Linked DNA regions of Styela clava. The protein of the gene in region 1 binds, or shares a complex with, the protein of each later gene. Links are inferred from orthologs where the notes say so. Each region holds a gene or a part of one and is shown in the gene's direction. Other genes may lie near its edges.

Region 1 (8,300 bases):
TGGGTTCGCAGGTTCGAATCCCAAGCAGGGATGGTTATGTGCGAGAGGATTGCTGGATTCCTCGCCGTCGTTGGGTGGTTCACGTAACCGCTGGTCGGTTACGGCTTCCTCCACCACCAAGTCCATGCTTCCGAAAACAAACAATACAGTAAAACTAATCCCATACCCGACTTGGAATGGTAACCGGACGAGAGGCCGTGGTTCGCCATATGGATAAGCCGTCTTATCGGCTTTCCTCTCCCCCGGGATAAATATGTAAATCCTATCCTATCCACTTAAACACATTCTTCGAAAATGATTCATTTTGTGACAAAATAATATTTCTTGTCAAATGTTGGAAAATAGTCACGAGATTCAGCATGACATAAACCACAATGCTGGCAAACAGAATGAAATTTTGACACACGCTTAAAATGACCAGTAGGCTTTTGAAATTTGTCAATATTTACACGAAATATTTTACTATTCAATGCGAACTTGTTAAATCTACATCCCGGACTATAACGTGTGAATTTTTCATGATGAGATACAGAATAAACTTCTCTCGTTGCAGTTACAGATTCAGTGAGTTCATGTATCACACATACATCAATAGCATTTTCCAATGCAAGATTGGTTTCTTTTAGCAATTGTGTTCGCAGGTTATCATTAGAAACACCAGTCGAAATTCGATCTTTAATCAACTCATCTTTGAGATCACCAAATTCACAAGGCGTGACTTTATCTTTCAAGTCTACAACAAATGATTGAATAGGTTTACCTGGCACCTGTGCTCTTATGTTAAAATGATGTCTTGTTATCCTTGACTTGACTCCTTATTGATTTGGAATTTTAGCACATTTTCTATTCAGGCTTTCTGGACTCGGCACAAGACTCGGCAAGAATGTCACCTTCAACTGCCTCATATGTAAAAGATTCGGGTCTCGTACCAAAGCAAAGTAATTTTTTTTTTTCGATTTTCCATTACAACAAAACAGAGAAGCAATACATGACAAAACAAACAAATACACGGAAAATCGGCAAAATCTAAAAAGATCTATGACGTGCTGATGCACTTACCCCAAACAGCACATTGGGGTAAATTTTGAAAAAATACACGAAGGCAAATCCGGGTGTAAATACTTGGATGTGAAGTTTGAAATACACTTTCTACTTTATATATCGTATACTGGAAAATAACGATTGGTATAGCGTACAACAAACAAACAAGCGGTGCACAACATGTGATAATTATTGTGTGATTCTGAACAAAGCAAAATATAACAAGAGTATTCCATGCACTGGTGTTGAAACTTCAGTAATTATCAAATCCATGTGCTTTGTGAATATGTGCTATTCAACGGTCTTTTTATGAAATCTATTATCAAATATACATTACATCTGTCATTTGACTGTTCATGTTATCATCAGGTTCGATCAGTTTTCCGCTAATGAGCTGAATGTCTTGTACGTTCGTTGAGTGTTTATCCCTTTAATACAGGCCTACCATTATCCGCAATACCTTTCTGTTAATTTTTTTATTCTCTCTACATCTTGTGAATGTTCTGTTTCATACTACAGTCGGACTTGACCATCAATGATTGTCAACACCATTTTTCTTTCCATCCCAGTGTTACATGTTCCCTAACCCTAACCATAATAACTTCTAGAAAGCTTGACGCAAATTTTTTTTTTATATGTTATTCCTAAAGCCCGCCTGACTACGTCATTCAAAAATTACGCCACAGTGTCGTAATAAAGCCCACAAAAATATACGGATGGTCGTCAAAATCGCCAATGAACCGAAGTCGAGCAAGCTACTTCTCGCCGTAACGATCCCGAAATGAGGAAGGATCGCTGGCGTTAGTAATAGATAGATAATGATTTATTTCCGATACAAGTACATAATACAGTAATCATAAGCAAACAACAATAAGCATAAAAATATATACGAAAGGGGACGGGCACAACTTCCAAGATCAACAAGGTCGACCGACCCCTAAGGAGAGATTCTACCAGGACAGGACACTCTAAGCAGGCATCATAATTGCAATAAAGAAAAAAAAATTTTTTTGAGTTTCAAGCCCGCTTTAAGAGGCTTCAGAAATCAATTCCCTAAAAGTACTGGAATAAGAATAAAAATTACAAGGAACAAGAAAAGGGAACATCACATAATTACGCTCTTCATAATGTTTTTTAATAGTAATAAAAAAAAGAGAAAGAATAAAAAGGGCGTAGAGCTAATTATAATTTCCTCAAATTAAGTTTACTTTGTGTTAGACAAGAATCAAATCGTGACAACAATTTCTATGAATGAGTGAAAAATTAAAAATACCATATTTCCCAAGCTATATAGTACATATAAATACTTCAGACTATATATAGCCTAATACCATCTTCAAAAATTTTCACAGAGACATATGAATATCCATCTATAAAAGGGTGAATTCATATCCATTTCGTGAATCTGATAGCATACACGGAGATTTGCACGTTATTGCATCACATTATAATCCGCTAATAAATAAAATTTTAGTTTGCGATCAAATAATTTTGGGGAACAATGTTTCATACTCTGTGGAATACTTTGCCATACATTAATGCCTTCCAGTTTAAGCGATTTCCACATGACTGATGATTGATATCGCGGGGTGAAATACAATTTGTTTGATGTCCTTCTCGTCTCGTACGGATGGATATCTGAAATTTTGACAAAAAAGTCTTGAAAATACTCTGGCAGCAGCAAATTTTCATAACGATACATAAATTTTCCTAATTTACTTATGTAGATTTCTTTCAATTGAAGAAATCCACAATGATGTGTGGAGGCGGGAGTGAGGGGAGGCGGACAACTCGACTACACGAACACGGACGGTTAGTGAGTTCGTTATCGTCGACGCAGCTGCGTCCTATTTCGCCATCGCAATAATACTCTTTCACGCTACCACCAGAATATATGGGAAAATCTGTACCGGTATATTTATACATCGGCACCTATTTCTGTATTTTGATTTGGCTGGTACAGGTACCGTACATGGGTCAGACGGGTCTTTGCAACAGTTCTTGTGGAACCAATGTGTTTCGCTGCAGCTTTCGCAACCGACCCATTCATCCTCAATTTCCGTACTTCCATTTGGATCATTCCATAATCCACAAGCAGAGCAGGTTTCGTCTTGATTATCACTTTTCTGATTTTCTCAGAGCTCCCCGTTGATCGGCTCGGCAGAGGTTCTTGCCCGGTGTGACTTTCGATCCTCGCTTTCGTTTCACTTGACTTGTGCTTGTTGAATGTATAGATTTTAAATAGGTAATGAGAGTAGACGTAGCCTGGTCGTTCATTTCTTGTCTATTGACGTCTGAGGAATGAAATTCGTGAGGTGGTAGTTTAGACAGCACCGCAGTGGGGTTAAACGGGTGGATCCCACAAACTCGGAATCCCGATTTCAGATTTTGGGCAGATGTTTCGGCCGATTTTTGAAAAAGTTTTTTTAATAACAAAGGGAAATGTTCTTTCGGGAAACCACGAATTCGTGATTCTGCTCTCCAGTCGGCTACTATTTTTCGCCACTTTGCTTTGAGTGGGGAAAAAAATGAACAATCGAGAGGCTGGAGTATATGAGTGCTGTTGGGTGGCAGGCACGTAAAATAAACATTGTGTTCATCCGCTAATTCAACAACCTCCACGGTTAAGTGCGATGACAAATTATCACCTACGAGCATTTTGTCGCCGTCTAGTTTGCCACGATACAGGAGAAATACCTCTTTGAACCAGCGGATGAAGGTTCTGGTGTCAAACCATCCGCTGGGTGTTGCGTCGTATATTGTCCCTTCAGGCCCATCGGTTGTCCAATACTCGTAGATGTTTAGCGCGGAATAGACAACCATAGGGGGCAAAAGGCTTCCAGCGGCAGATCCACAAAACATGATAGATATCGAGCTTTTTGAGAAATCTCGAATCATCTCAACTCTATTTGTACCGGTTGGAACTATTGAAAGTTTTCTGCCCGGATCGTCACGAAGATTCGTTTCATCGTAGTTGAAGATGTTCGTTGCAGGTAAACGCGTCGCTATTTCTTTAATCTCGTTGAAGTAATTCACTATTTCCTCTGACCCCACGGCTGCACGTGCTCTTTTAATGTTTGAGGCAACTCTCTTGGATAACCGCTGCCTTTTGCAAAAATTATCCACCCACATCGGGCCAGGTTTGTTGTTGGGGAACGTAGGAGAGCTTATTCCCATTGCATCCAAATAGTTTTTGACAATGTTGTACATGTCCTCCGGTCCAATGGGATATCCCCAACGTGCAATGATTTTGAGGCTATTAGCAAATCGCTTCTCCTCTTCATTGGTTAAACCAGTCGGGCGACCAATACTTTTAGTGTGAGTCTTCTTCATTTTGTCGAATAATGTCGACCTTTTCACGGCATTGCGTTTAGCTGCTTTCGCATACGACATCCCTGCTCTAACATCAGCCATAGCCTTTTGCAAGTCCTCGCTATTGCTTATCGGTATATTTGGCCTGGCCCAACAATTTTTGCATATGCATATGTAATTTCTAACCTCCACATGACTGCGTCATCCGGAAATTACATCACTGTGTCATAGAGCTTGCTAAAGTATAGTTACGATCGTCCGAAATGGCATCTGTGCAGCGATCTCTCTTTTATCGGTACTGGTATCGTTTCGATGACAAGAAATAGCTTGCTCGACTTTGGATGATTGTCTGTGCAACCATTCGTATACTTTGAAGGGCCGTATTACGTCATTGCGACTTCGCAGTGATGTAATTTCCGGATGACGTAGTCATCTGAGGGTTAGAAATTACATATGCAAAAATTGTTGAGCCAGGCCAACTATAAGTACTTGCGGCGCGTACTTCAGGAGACCCCAAAATTGAGCTAGGCTAACTAGAAGTACATGTGGTACCGGTACTAAATTATACCAGACCCAGTGTTTACTTCTGTTAGTTCTGTACTTGTAGTCAATTTAAGTATTTTCACATAGAACAGTAGTACTCCATTGGCGATGGGCTGTAGAGGAGTCAACACTTCCTCTCTACTTCGCTAGACTTGAAATATGAATAAAAAATAATATTTAAAATATAAAAATAAAATTTTATTCAGTCTGATCTATTTACTAAATTAGGCATATGTTTTTTTCATATCAGAAAGTACAGAAGTACGGTACATTTGCCTGTATGCTAGCAATATTATATAAATAAGATCATACTGTCATAAGGTGTTGCTGTATTGTAATCATCATCATGAAGACCCGTTTTACGACTCTTGATATATCTGCTGTGTTGACTGAAATCAATGCCAAGTTGGTAGGAATGAGACTGGCAAATGTGTATGATATCAACAACAAAACCTATCTGCTAAAACTGGCAAAGCCTGATTTTAAGGCTATATTGCTAATGGAATCAGGCATACGTCTTCATATTTCTGAATTTGATTGGCCGAAAAATATGATGCCTTCTGGATTTTCAATGAAAATGAGAAAACATCTTAAAGGGAGACGACTGATTTATGCAAAACAACTTGGAGTGGACAGAATAGTTGATATGCAATTTGGTACAGATGATGCAGCTTTTCATATAATTTTAGAATTATACGACAGAGGAAATATAATTCTCACAGACCATCAATATGCTATTTTAAATATTTTACGATTCCGTAAAGATAAAGCAGTATCATCAAATGAGGGGAATGCAGATGAGAATTCAGATGTTCGTATTGCAGTAAATGAAACTTACCCGTGTGATTCTGCAAAACAGCGCAAAAATTTTTCTGAAATCAAGTTGAAATTAGAGGAAGTACTGAAACAAGCTAAGAATGATGATGTTTTGAAAAGGATATTAAATCCTCATTTACCATATGGAACAGCGTGTATTGAACATTGTCTTCTAAAATCAGGATTCCCCATAAATGCTAAATTCGGTAAAGAGTTTAATATTGAGAATGACCTGGAAGGTTTGTTTATTGGAATATATCATGGTGAGGAACTACTTGACACATTAATGAAAGATTGTTCTAATGGATGGATTGTGCAGAAGTCGGAGAAAAAATCTGATGGAACAAACGTATTAACAAACACTGAATTTCATCCGTTTCTATTCGAACAACATAAAACTTCTCCAAACGTTAAATATGAATCTTTCAACAAATCCGTTGATGAGTTTTTTGGGAGTTTAGAATCACAAAAAGCTGATATGAAAATTTTGCAACAGGAGAAATCAGCAAATAAAAAACTTGATAATATCAGGAAAGATCATGAGCAGAGACTCTCAAACCTCGATAAAGAACAAGAAACTGATCTTCATAAAGCACAATTAATTGAAGAAAATTTGACTTTAGTCGATCAAGCTATTCACGTTGTCCGAACTGCTATCGCTAATCAAATTGACTGGGGAGAAATAAGCAGTTTAATTAAAGATGCACAAATAAATGAAGATCCTGTAGCAATGTCAATCATAAAACTCAATTTAAAGAGCAATGAATTTACGATGGCTCTAAATGAAGCGTTAGATAATTCTGAAAGTGAGGAAGCCTCTTCTGACGAAGATATTAAAAAATCTAAAAAGAAAAAGCGAAAACCTGTTAAAGTTGACATTGATATCGGCCTTTCGGCTTACAGTAATGCAAAAAAATATTACAACAAAAAGAGACAGGCTTCATCGAAGCAACAAAAAATCATTGATGCTTCTGGAAAAGCCCTCAAGTCGGCTGAAAAGAAGACAAAGTTGTCTCTAAAAGAAGCTGCTGTTGTTCATAGCATTCAAAAAGCAAGAAAAACTTTTTGGTTTGAAAAATTCTTATGGTTTATATCATCAGAAAATTTTCTTGTGATAGGAGGAAGAGACGCTCAGCAAAATGAAATACTTGTGAAAAGATATCTTACCGGCAACGATTTATATGTTCACGCAGATCTTCATGGGGCTACCAGTTGCATAATTAAAAATCCAACAAGTGCTGATGTGCCTCCAAAAACTCTCAACGAGGCTGGTACAATGGCTATTTGCCACAGTGCTGCGTGGAATGCAAAAGTTGTAACGAGTGCATGGTGGGTACACAGTCACCAGGTATCCAAAACAGCACCAAGCGGAGAATATCTAACAACTGGTAGTTTTCTTATTCGTGGAAAAAAGAATTACCTGCCCCCTTCGTATTTGGTATATGGATTTGGTTTGGTATTTAAAGTGGAGGAAACTTGTATTCACAAACATAAAGATGAAAGAAAAGTCTCTGAGCTTCAATCATTCAATGGTCAAGATATACCTGATTCCACTGCAACTGAATCGATAAGCAGCGAATTGGAAAGAGAACTAACTATAGATTCGGATACAGAGGGTAGTGATTGTGAACCTGAAACAAATAGTTCTGCTGAACCAGCTATTAAAGATGAGACCAAAAGCGACACAGCTGATAATGAGCCACAACTTGGAACTGTTGATGCTGTTATGATGGATAAAAAGCCAACTGGAATACAATTTCCAGATACAAACATTCAAATAAAATACGCAATTGGAACAAATTCAGCTGATGAAGAAGAAAATCCTGATGTTGTATATCTTGGTGATGAAGAACCGGTTCTTGTGAAACAAAACAACCCAACTAGCAAACCTAGAATATCTGCAAAACAAAGAAGAGATGCAAAAAAGAAAAATCAACCGAATTCCTCAGGTGATCTTGCAGAAAATGATGTAATTCCACCGAAAAATAAAGATTCACCAAATCCGGTCTTGGTGAATGAAAATCCTCAACAGCATCCTGCAAAAAGAGGACAAAGAAATAAGATGAAAAAATTGAAAAGCAAGTACAAAGATCAAGATGAGGAAGAAAGATTATTAAAAATGGAATTGTTGCAACAGTCTCAGAGTCAAAAAGCAAGAGATAGAAAAGCCAAAAAGGCCAAGTCAGTGGCCCCTCAACAAAAAGAAACAAAAGTTCAAAAACAGCCACGTCCTAAACCTGCGAAGTCACAAGAAAATGAATATGATTCTGACGAGGAGAGAAACAAAGTATTGGAAAATGAACATTTATCAGAAGAAAGTATCGGAATTTTGAACTCTTTAACTGGTTGCCCTTTTCCTGATGATATTTTAATGTTTGCGCTGCCAGTGTGTGCACCATATAACACTATGCATAATTATAAGTTTAAAGTGAAACTTACTCCCGGTAATACAAAGAAGGGAAAAGGTGCCAAAACTGCCCTAAACTTGTTTCAGAATATGCGTGATACTACAGCCCAAGAAAAAGATCATTTGCGCAGTATTAAAGATCATGATTTAGCTCATAATATTCCGGGTAAAATAAAAGTTT
Region 2 (7,238 bases), on another chromosome or scaffold:
TACACATTTTACAGATAAACAACGATTAATAACGGGATATCATATTAATTTCCCGAATATCCCCACACCCAACAGCGCCCACAATAGTGCCAGATGAACGAATTCCATTCGGGCATAATCACACCTGCTTCAAAACAACTCAGCATGTATATATAATTTTTCGGGTTAATTATGCTCGTCGTGGTATGCCAGGCATGACGTTGTTAATTAAGTAAAATTCTGATCCGCCCGTTTCTCGTCAGTAGCGGTGGCGCAGGGGAAGCGTGGAGACATGGTTGAACATGAGGCCAGGTATGAGTGTGGGTTCGAACCCCACAAGGTAGACCTAGTTGTAGGAAAGGACCCCACAAGGTAGACCTAGTTGTAGGAAAGAGTCAGCAAAAAAGCCAGGTTGGTCCAGGGAAGAAAGGGAGTCGGCGGACAGGAGATCGAGCGAGAGCAAAAAAGGCCAGGTGGAAGGCAGTCAAAAGAAGGAACAGACAAGAGGGCAAAAGAAAGGTGTCCAAGGAGGAAAGGCCGCAAGGTAGAAGAACCGAGCTGTAGGGAAGGGTCAGCAGAAAAGCCAGGTGGGCCGACACCGAAGAGCGATGTGGGAAGGCAGCTGAAAGACAAGAAACATGGCCGAGGAGGAACAGCCGACGGGCAGGAGAGAGGAAGACACACAGACGGAGGGGCAAAAAAGGTCACCGTCCAAGAAAAAGATCCGGCGTACAGAGAGGAGAGCAAGAATCAGACGGAATTATCAAAAAAGAGAGAAAGTCCAGCGGGACAGCCAAAAGCAGAAATTTCAGGGGAAGGAATTTAAAAAAAAAGTGCGAGAAAGCGAAACTTCGTGGAGTGAAAGAATAATAAGCAAACAACAAGCATGGCCGACGAGGAACGGCCGAGGAAAGGAGAGAGAGAGACACAGACGGAAGAAGATCGATCGATCCGTCGTAAAAGGGGAGGGAGCATGGCCGACGAGGAACGGCCGAGGAAAGGAGAGAGAGAGACACAGACGGAAGAAGATCGATCCGTCGTAAAAGGGGAGCAAGAAAGAATCAGACAGATTATCAAAAAAGATGGAGAGAAATCTAGCGGACAACCAAGAGAGAGAGAAATACAGCGGACAGCCAAGAGGAGAAATTTCAGGATTCAGAATAATGGGCAGACAAAACAAGGAAGGAAGAGGAGGCGGAGAAGCAGAAATTAAAAAGAAGAGCGATAAAGCGAAAAAAATGGAAATTATGGTGGCATCTAGACAAGAAAGTAGATGAAAAAATGAGTTCGTTCTGTGGTGAGGAGCAAGAAGAAAAATCTTCAGTCAGTCAGTCAGTCCCCTTATAAAAAAAAGTGGAGGAGAGGAAGTGTTGAAGAGGAAGAAGAAACTGGTGGAGAGATAAAAAAATAAGAATGCAGCAAGGAAGAAATTTGTAAAAAAAGTCTCCCTTATAAAAAAAAGTGGAGGAGAGGAAGTGTTGAAGAGGAAGAAGAAACTGGTGGAGAGATAAAAAAATAAGAATGCAGCAAGGAAGAAATTTGTAAAAAAAGTCTCACGCATCGCCGCCACAGCATATAGAGCAAGCAAGTAAAAGAAGCCAGCCAATCAGAGCAACAACGAACACAAAATAGAAGAAATAGGGCGCGAGTCAAGTAAAAAAATGGTGACTTTCAATGATCTTTACTGTTGCATAAAATAAATATTCAAATACGGGCATATTTTAGAAGTGGACATAGGGTGGACATAACGATCGTTTCAATATTATGTTGTTTTTATTAATTGTCTCCACCATTTTTAAAAAAATCGTGTTTCTCTTTGAATACGATCGTTTCAATATTATGTTGTTTTTATTAATTGTCTCCATCATTTTTAAAAAAATCGTTTTTCTCTTTGAATACTGGACCAATTATTGCTTTGAAATTTTCAGTGGTCAAAGATAAAAATTTTGGTGATCCCGAAGTATGCGAACCAAGATGGCGGACATCGGAACGTAACATGGGTAACAGGTTAGGGTTAGGCGATAATTTTTTTCCAATTTTCCTTCTTTTAGTCCTATTATCAGTTCGAAGACTAGCCAAGAGCCTCCCGTAGTATTTATAGCTAAAATTATGGCCTAACCCTAACCTAGTACACGTATTACATTCCGATGTCCGCCATCTTGGTTCGCATACTTTGGGAGCCCCAAAATTTTCTCCAGTAGGTCAATGACATTAATGTCATTGAGTAGGCTAATACTTTTTTTCGCTATGACGTCATCAAAATTACCGCCATTGGGTGCTACGTGTCCATATATTTGAGCATAACTCTCTTGTTAATTTAATTGGGATCATTTTAACCTGCGGTTGTGTTGATTAAATCAAAGAATTACTTCTCAAAAATACCATGACAATCCGTTGACATTAAAATGCGTGGTAAAGTAGCTGATTATATTTTGTTTTAATTTCTATTTTTCTGAATTCGACAAATCTGTGCTGTTCGTGCAACCCTTACGCCGCTCCAGTAATGTACGTAACAATGTGGATTGTGGAGGTAGTAAAGAAAAGTATTCGAAGGGAAACTGCCCAGGTATGTGTACTACGGTAGAACCCGAATTTTTGCGATTTGCAATGTCTTAAAAAGCGTTTTTAATCGGTCGTAACCATCATAAAACACCACTTTTGGTGTTCTCAGTTTTCAGGTTTTATTTTAGTATTTTGTATTGACGCTTTTGAATTTAGATAATTTGGGTTGCCACCATTGGCACCTACCGTACCAGGAAAAAATTTATTCCTCGTTTTTCAAACTTGCGAGAAACACCACTTAGGTAGGTATCTATCGAAGCGACCTGTCGCGTCAAGTGTTACCAAATTTTCGATTAGTAAATTCTGAAATTGCTATTCTAATAGTTTAATGTTAATTTACTAAATGCCCAGCCCTACTCAGTAACCAGTAGTTATTGACTCGGGTAATGTTATGCGAATAAACTTGCTTCCTGCAATTTAGGGTTCGTTCCGATAATTCAGTACAGCACACTATCCAAATTCCAAGAACTTCCTCCATTTGGCTCAATGAAACAAACACTCTATGTGTCTTACAAACAAGGGGCGTCTGGGACCTTGACAGATGCTTCATATCACGCCATGCTTGTCTCAACAATAATCTAAATGAATCGCGGCCGTGACATGACCAAAATTGCGTTTTTTTGCTAAAAACTTTCGAATGCTACAGTAAAAGATTTTTTCCTTCGGTAAATCTGATTATTTTTTCCAAGGAATTCAATGATGACCTTACTAGATTGCGCTTTTTTGTAGTATTTTTTGCAACTTCATTATACTGTAATATTACCGATATTGAAGGACAGCAATGACCAGACGTCTCCCGAAGGAGAGGTGTCTGATCATCTGTAAAATGGGTTTCTCTGAAACGGGACAATGTCACCCGATTTTATAGTGTGCCGTACTGTAATTAAAAAAAATTATATTTACCACTGTCCCCCCAAGTTTGCCGATTTATTTATATAAACATTGCATGGAAGTATATGAAATGGCATTTACAAGACATATAAAGGTCCGTTCTGGTAGGTTTATGTAGATTCTCCACCCCGTTCTGGTAATTAAAGGAACCGCACTGGTAGACTATACCGGTACCTGAAGCCTATACAAAAGTCAGTAGGTGCCGTATGTCTGTACGAGACAGGTGACAGCACTGCAATAGCATATTGTAAGTTATAAATATACTTTGAACTGACTTTGTTCGCAAGCTGTGAATATACAGATATATTTCAATATCTGAATCAACTGACGGTTATGTCAGTACTGCGGTATTTCTACATTTTGAAGAAAGCTTGATCACTCCTGTGACAGTATACTTCTGTACTTACTACTGTACTACACGGTATAGTTACACTCTTAATTAGTGTGGTTAATTCAATGAGGCTTTCTTTATCTAGAGAATTAGACTACGGTATAGTAAAATTATTTTGTGTAAGCCTGGATTATGTCGACAAGAGTTCTCAGGAAACTTCATGGACGTGATGATGAGTTGAAAAATTTAGCAGCGTTAGCCGCTGTAGAAAGTTCTGAAGAAGAAGATTCTTCTGAGCAAACTGAAAAACCATCTCAAGAAAGAAGAAACCTATTTGACTTGGTATTTAGAATTTTTACTACTAAAGTACGGCACAGTTCTCCAATTCCAAGAATAGCCCCTGCATTGAAAGTCATGAAATATAACAGTGAGTGCAAGGTCCTCCACATCGCCACAAATTAACTGCACAATAAACTAAAAAGGAATTTCAATCTTAAAACATCACCTTTAGATTTTTTAATAAAAATTAACCCGCTGTACTGAAGGGAAAAATATTTCACCATGGCATTTGAAACTTTTTACCAAAAAAGTGCAATTTTGGTCATGTGACGGCCGACACCTGTTGCGATTGATTTAAAGCCGGCACATTTGCCATCATGCCAGATGTCCTCATTTCAGAGACGAATAGAGTGTTTGTTTTATTGAACCTAATGTTGGGACACCTCAGGATCTGAGAACTGAAATAAAAACAGAAACAGAAATAAAAATTGATTTTGATGTGGCTACTGTTTAATTAATGTGCATATTTTGCCCAGAAGCACATAAAGTTTGCAGACCACTGATTTAGAGCTTTTACCAGCTCCAGTCATTTTTTTGATTCCAGTCATTTTCTCATAGACTGAAGGTGACCCTTGATTAACCGGCAACCGCCAGTGAGACTTAACTCTGTTATCGACTCGACTTGATAACCTGTGACTTGAATTGACTCTCGACTTAGATTTAGAGACAACTACCCTACCAGCACTGGGTTACACTCAAAGTAAATTGTTTATATCAATGGATTTCTAAAGTATTAATATAAATACAGTTAAACGATGAAAATGAAGATGTAGAATCAGATGAATCAACGAATATTGACAAAGATGAAAATGTGAATGAGAATATAGAAAAACCAACTCCAATACAAACTGGTGCTAGGAAGAAAACAAAGAAGAAGAAAAAGAATGTTGCAAAAAAGAATGTATGTGGTACCAAAATATTAATTCAGACTTGAAGGTTCTCAATTATATGTCCATTATTGTTCCGTGGCACCAAATTTTTATTTACAGTATGGTTTTAAGCTAACTAGATATTGAGGTTCTGTCAAAATCCTTGACGTTAAAACCCCAAATTTTATTCTCAATTAAGGGGAATGTCATAAAAATGCGTATTTACATAATAAGTTAATTTTGCATGAGGGATACCAGTTCTGTCCAATTGATTTTAGCTATGTATTCACAATTTTTGAATAAGTCCCAAAGTAACCTGATTCGCAGGATAAAAAAATAGGCTGTTATGACATATGTCCACTATGGCAGCCTGAGCCGTGGAGTTTGAGAGAATTAACAATCGCATCTTACTCCGGGCGAGACAAAATTCTGACTCAAGCACCGAAGTGCAAGAAAATCAAATTTTGATGATAAACACCCAATAAGCATTATGCAAGACTTCTTCAATAGACTTTTAAGAATACTTGTAGAGTTGTGTAGGAATTTTTAACTTCTTTTATCACCACTTCATGAAATTCGGAATGTTGCTACCGACTTCGTTGAGTTAGAAAATACCGGTACCACTCACTGACAACATGCCAGACTCCCAGAGCTCACTTGCTTGGAAATCTATTATTAATCGAGTATCTGGCTAAAATTACTTTTTGTATTTTTTAGAAAAAAGACGAAGAAGAAGACATTGAAAAAGTTGTCAATGAAATTGCTCAAATGGAAAACAACAAACCAAATAGGGATTTTTCTAACCACAGTGTCCAAGTGAAAAAATATAAATATGTATTGACTGTTGAACACAGGTAATAATAATTGTTTTTCTTACTTTCAAAAAAAATTTTGTTTCAGTTTTAAACACAAATCACTAGAAAACTCCCAACCCAACTCCAGAGCCTGGTCATATCCTTCATTCACCTAATTTGGTTTTAATATTTTTTTAAAGTCATTTTCATTGGTACGTATATATTTTATTTCTTTCATTTTTTTGACGAAGATATAAATTGGATTTCAGGTTTCTTAATCCAGATAACGAACTCAAAAGAATATTTGGTACTCGGACTCTACTGGATGATGCTAACTTCAGGCAAAGAAATCGTGTAAAGACGTTAAAAGGAACTTGGCTGACTTCACCTACTTCAAATTGGCCCAGATTAACCAAATGTGGATTGAGTATGACTTGCCTGGAAAAATCACAGAAGTAAGATTATTGTTAAACAGGGAATTCCAGACTTTCAATAGTGATAAAAGAAGCACAGAAACTTAAAGCATTTAATTCTACTAAGTGTTTTTAGTAACAGTCTATTGATGAAGGCTCGCGTATGTGTCTCGGCAGTGTGGTGCATCATGCTAAGCGTTAGGAATACGTTGACCACTGCACTCCTGATGATTACTCTTCTCGGGTATGCATGCCGAGGAGATAATTATGTGCGAGTGGATTGCTGCACTTCTCGGCGCGTAAGGTCGGTTACAGTTTTCTCCACCATCAAGTCCGACATGGACTGGTATCCGGATGAGGCGCTGTACTTCGCAATATGATTAAGCCGTCTAATTCGCTTTCTCTTCAATTGGAATAATTATGTGAATCCTATCCTTTGTCAAAGTTATTATGTTATGAAAGTGGAGAATTGTCTACTTATATATAATTATTGTATTTACAGATATCAATATTTTACGTTCGAACATAGCAAGGAATATCAAAAAGCGCAGTTTGAATTTTTAGATGCAGTCGACTCATCTGACCACAATCAAATTGCGGTAAGTAACACAATTTTTGTATTCAAAAACAAAATAATGTTAAAAATGTAAGAAATCAATTACTTTTAGCGCATTATAGATTTGCTATCTTTATAAATGTTATTGGCATTGCATTATACTTTCGACACATACACTTCATGATCAACATGTAGCATACCACTGCCAGGGATGGGCCAAAACCGAATAATCTAGTATAAGAATACATTCTGAAATAACCTTTACGAAATTGGAATAACGAATATATTCTGAAATGGGTCTGTTTCACAGGAGAAATTCTTCAAGACTATTGTAAATTCATAGAAATCAGATTTGCTTTTGCCGAATAATTGGGATAAACAGTAGTATTCCCTATTTTAATCTGTCAGAAGTTAATTAGATTTTTGGGACCTCCTGAAGTATGCGCACCAAGATGACGCACAACCTGAACTCAGGTGGTGTATAAGGTCATAGTTCAGGTTGTG

What was found. The genes of interacting proteins can lie anywhere in the genome.
Region 2: ribosome quality control complex subunit NEMF-like (region 1) and ribosome quality control complex subunit TCF25-like share a complex: the UniProt entries of both Homo sapiens proteins name them as parts of the ribosome quality control complex. The link is inferred for Styela clava from reciprocal best matches to the Homo sapiens genes NEMF and TCF25.

The regions. Positions count from the first base shown.
Region 1 is NC_135256.1:10,605,347-10,613,646, reverse strand, and holds the start of ribosome quality control complex subunit NEMF-like, read left to right. Parts: upstream 1-5,192; 5' UTR 5,193-5,242; coding exon 5,243-8,300. UniProt on the Homo sapiens protein: Key component of the ribosome quality control complex (RQC), a ribosome-associated complex that mediates the extraction of incompletely synthesized nascent chains from stalled ribosomes as well as their ubiquitin-mediated proteasomal degradation.
Region 2 is NC_135262.1:6,384,670-6,391,907, reverse strand, and holds the start of ribosome quality control complex subunit TCF25-like, read left to right. Parts: upstream 1-3,901; 5' UTR 3,902-3,955; coding exon 3,956-4,105; intron 4,106-4,850; coding exon 4,851-5,003; intron 5,004-5,688; coding exon 5,689-5,825; intron 5,826-6,034; coding exon 6,035-6,220; intron 6,221-6,680; coding exon 6,681-6,777; intron 6,778-7,238. UniProt on the Homo sapiens protein: Component of the ribosome quality control complex (RQC), a ribosome-associated complex that mediates ubiquitination and extraction of incompletely synthesized nascent chains for proteasomal degradation.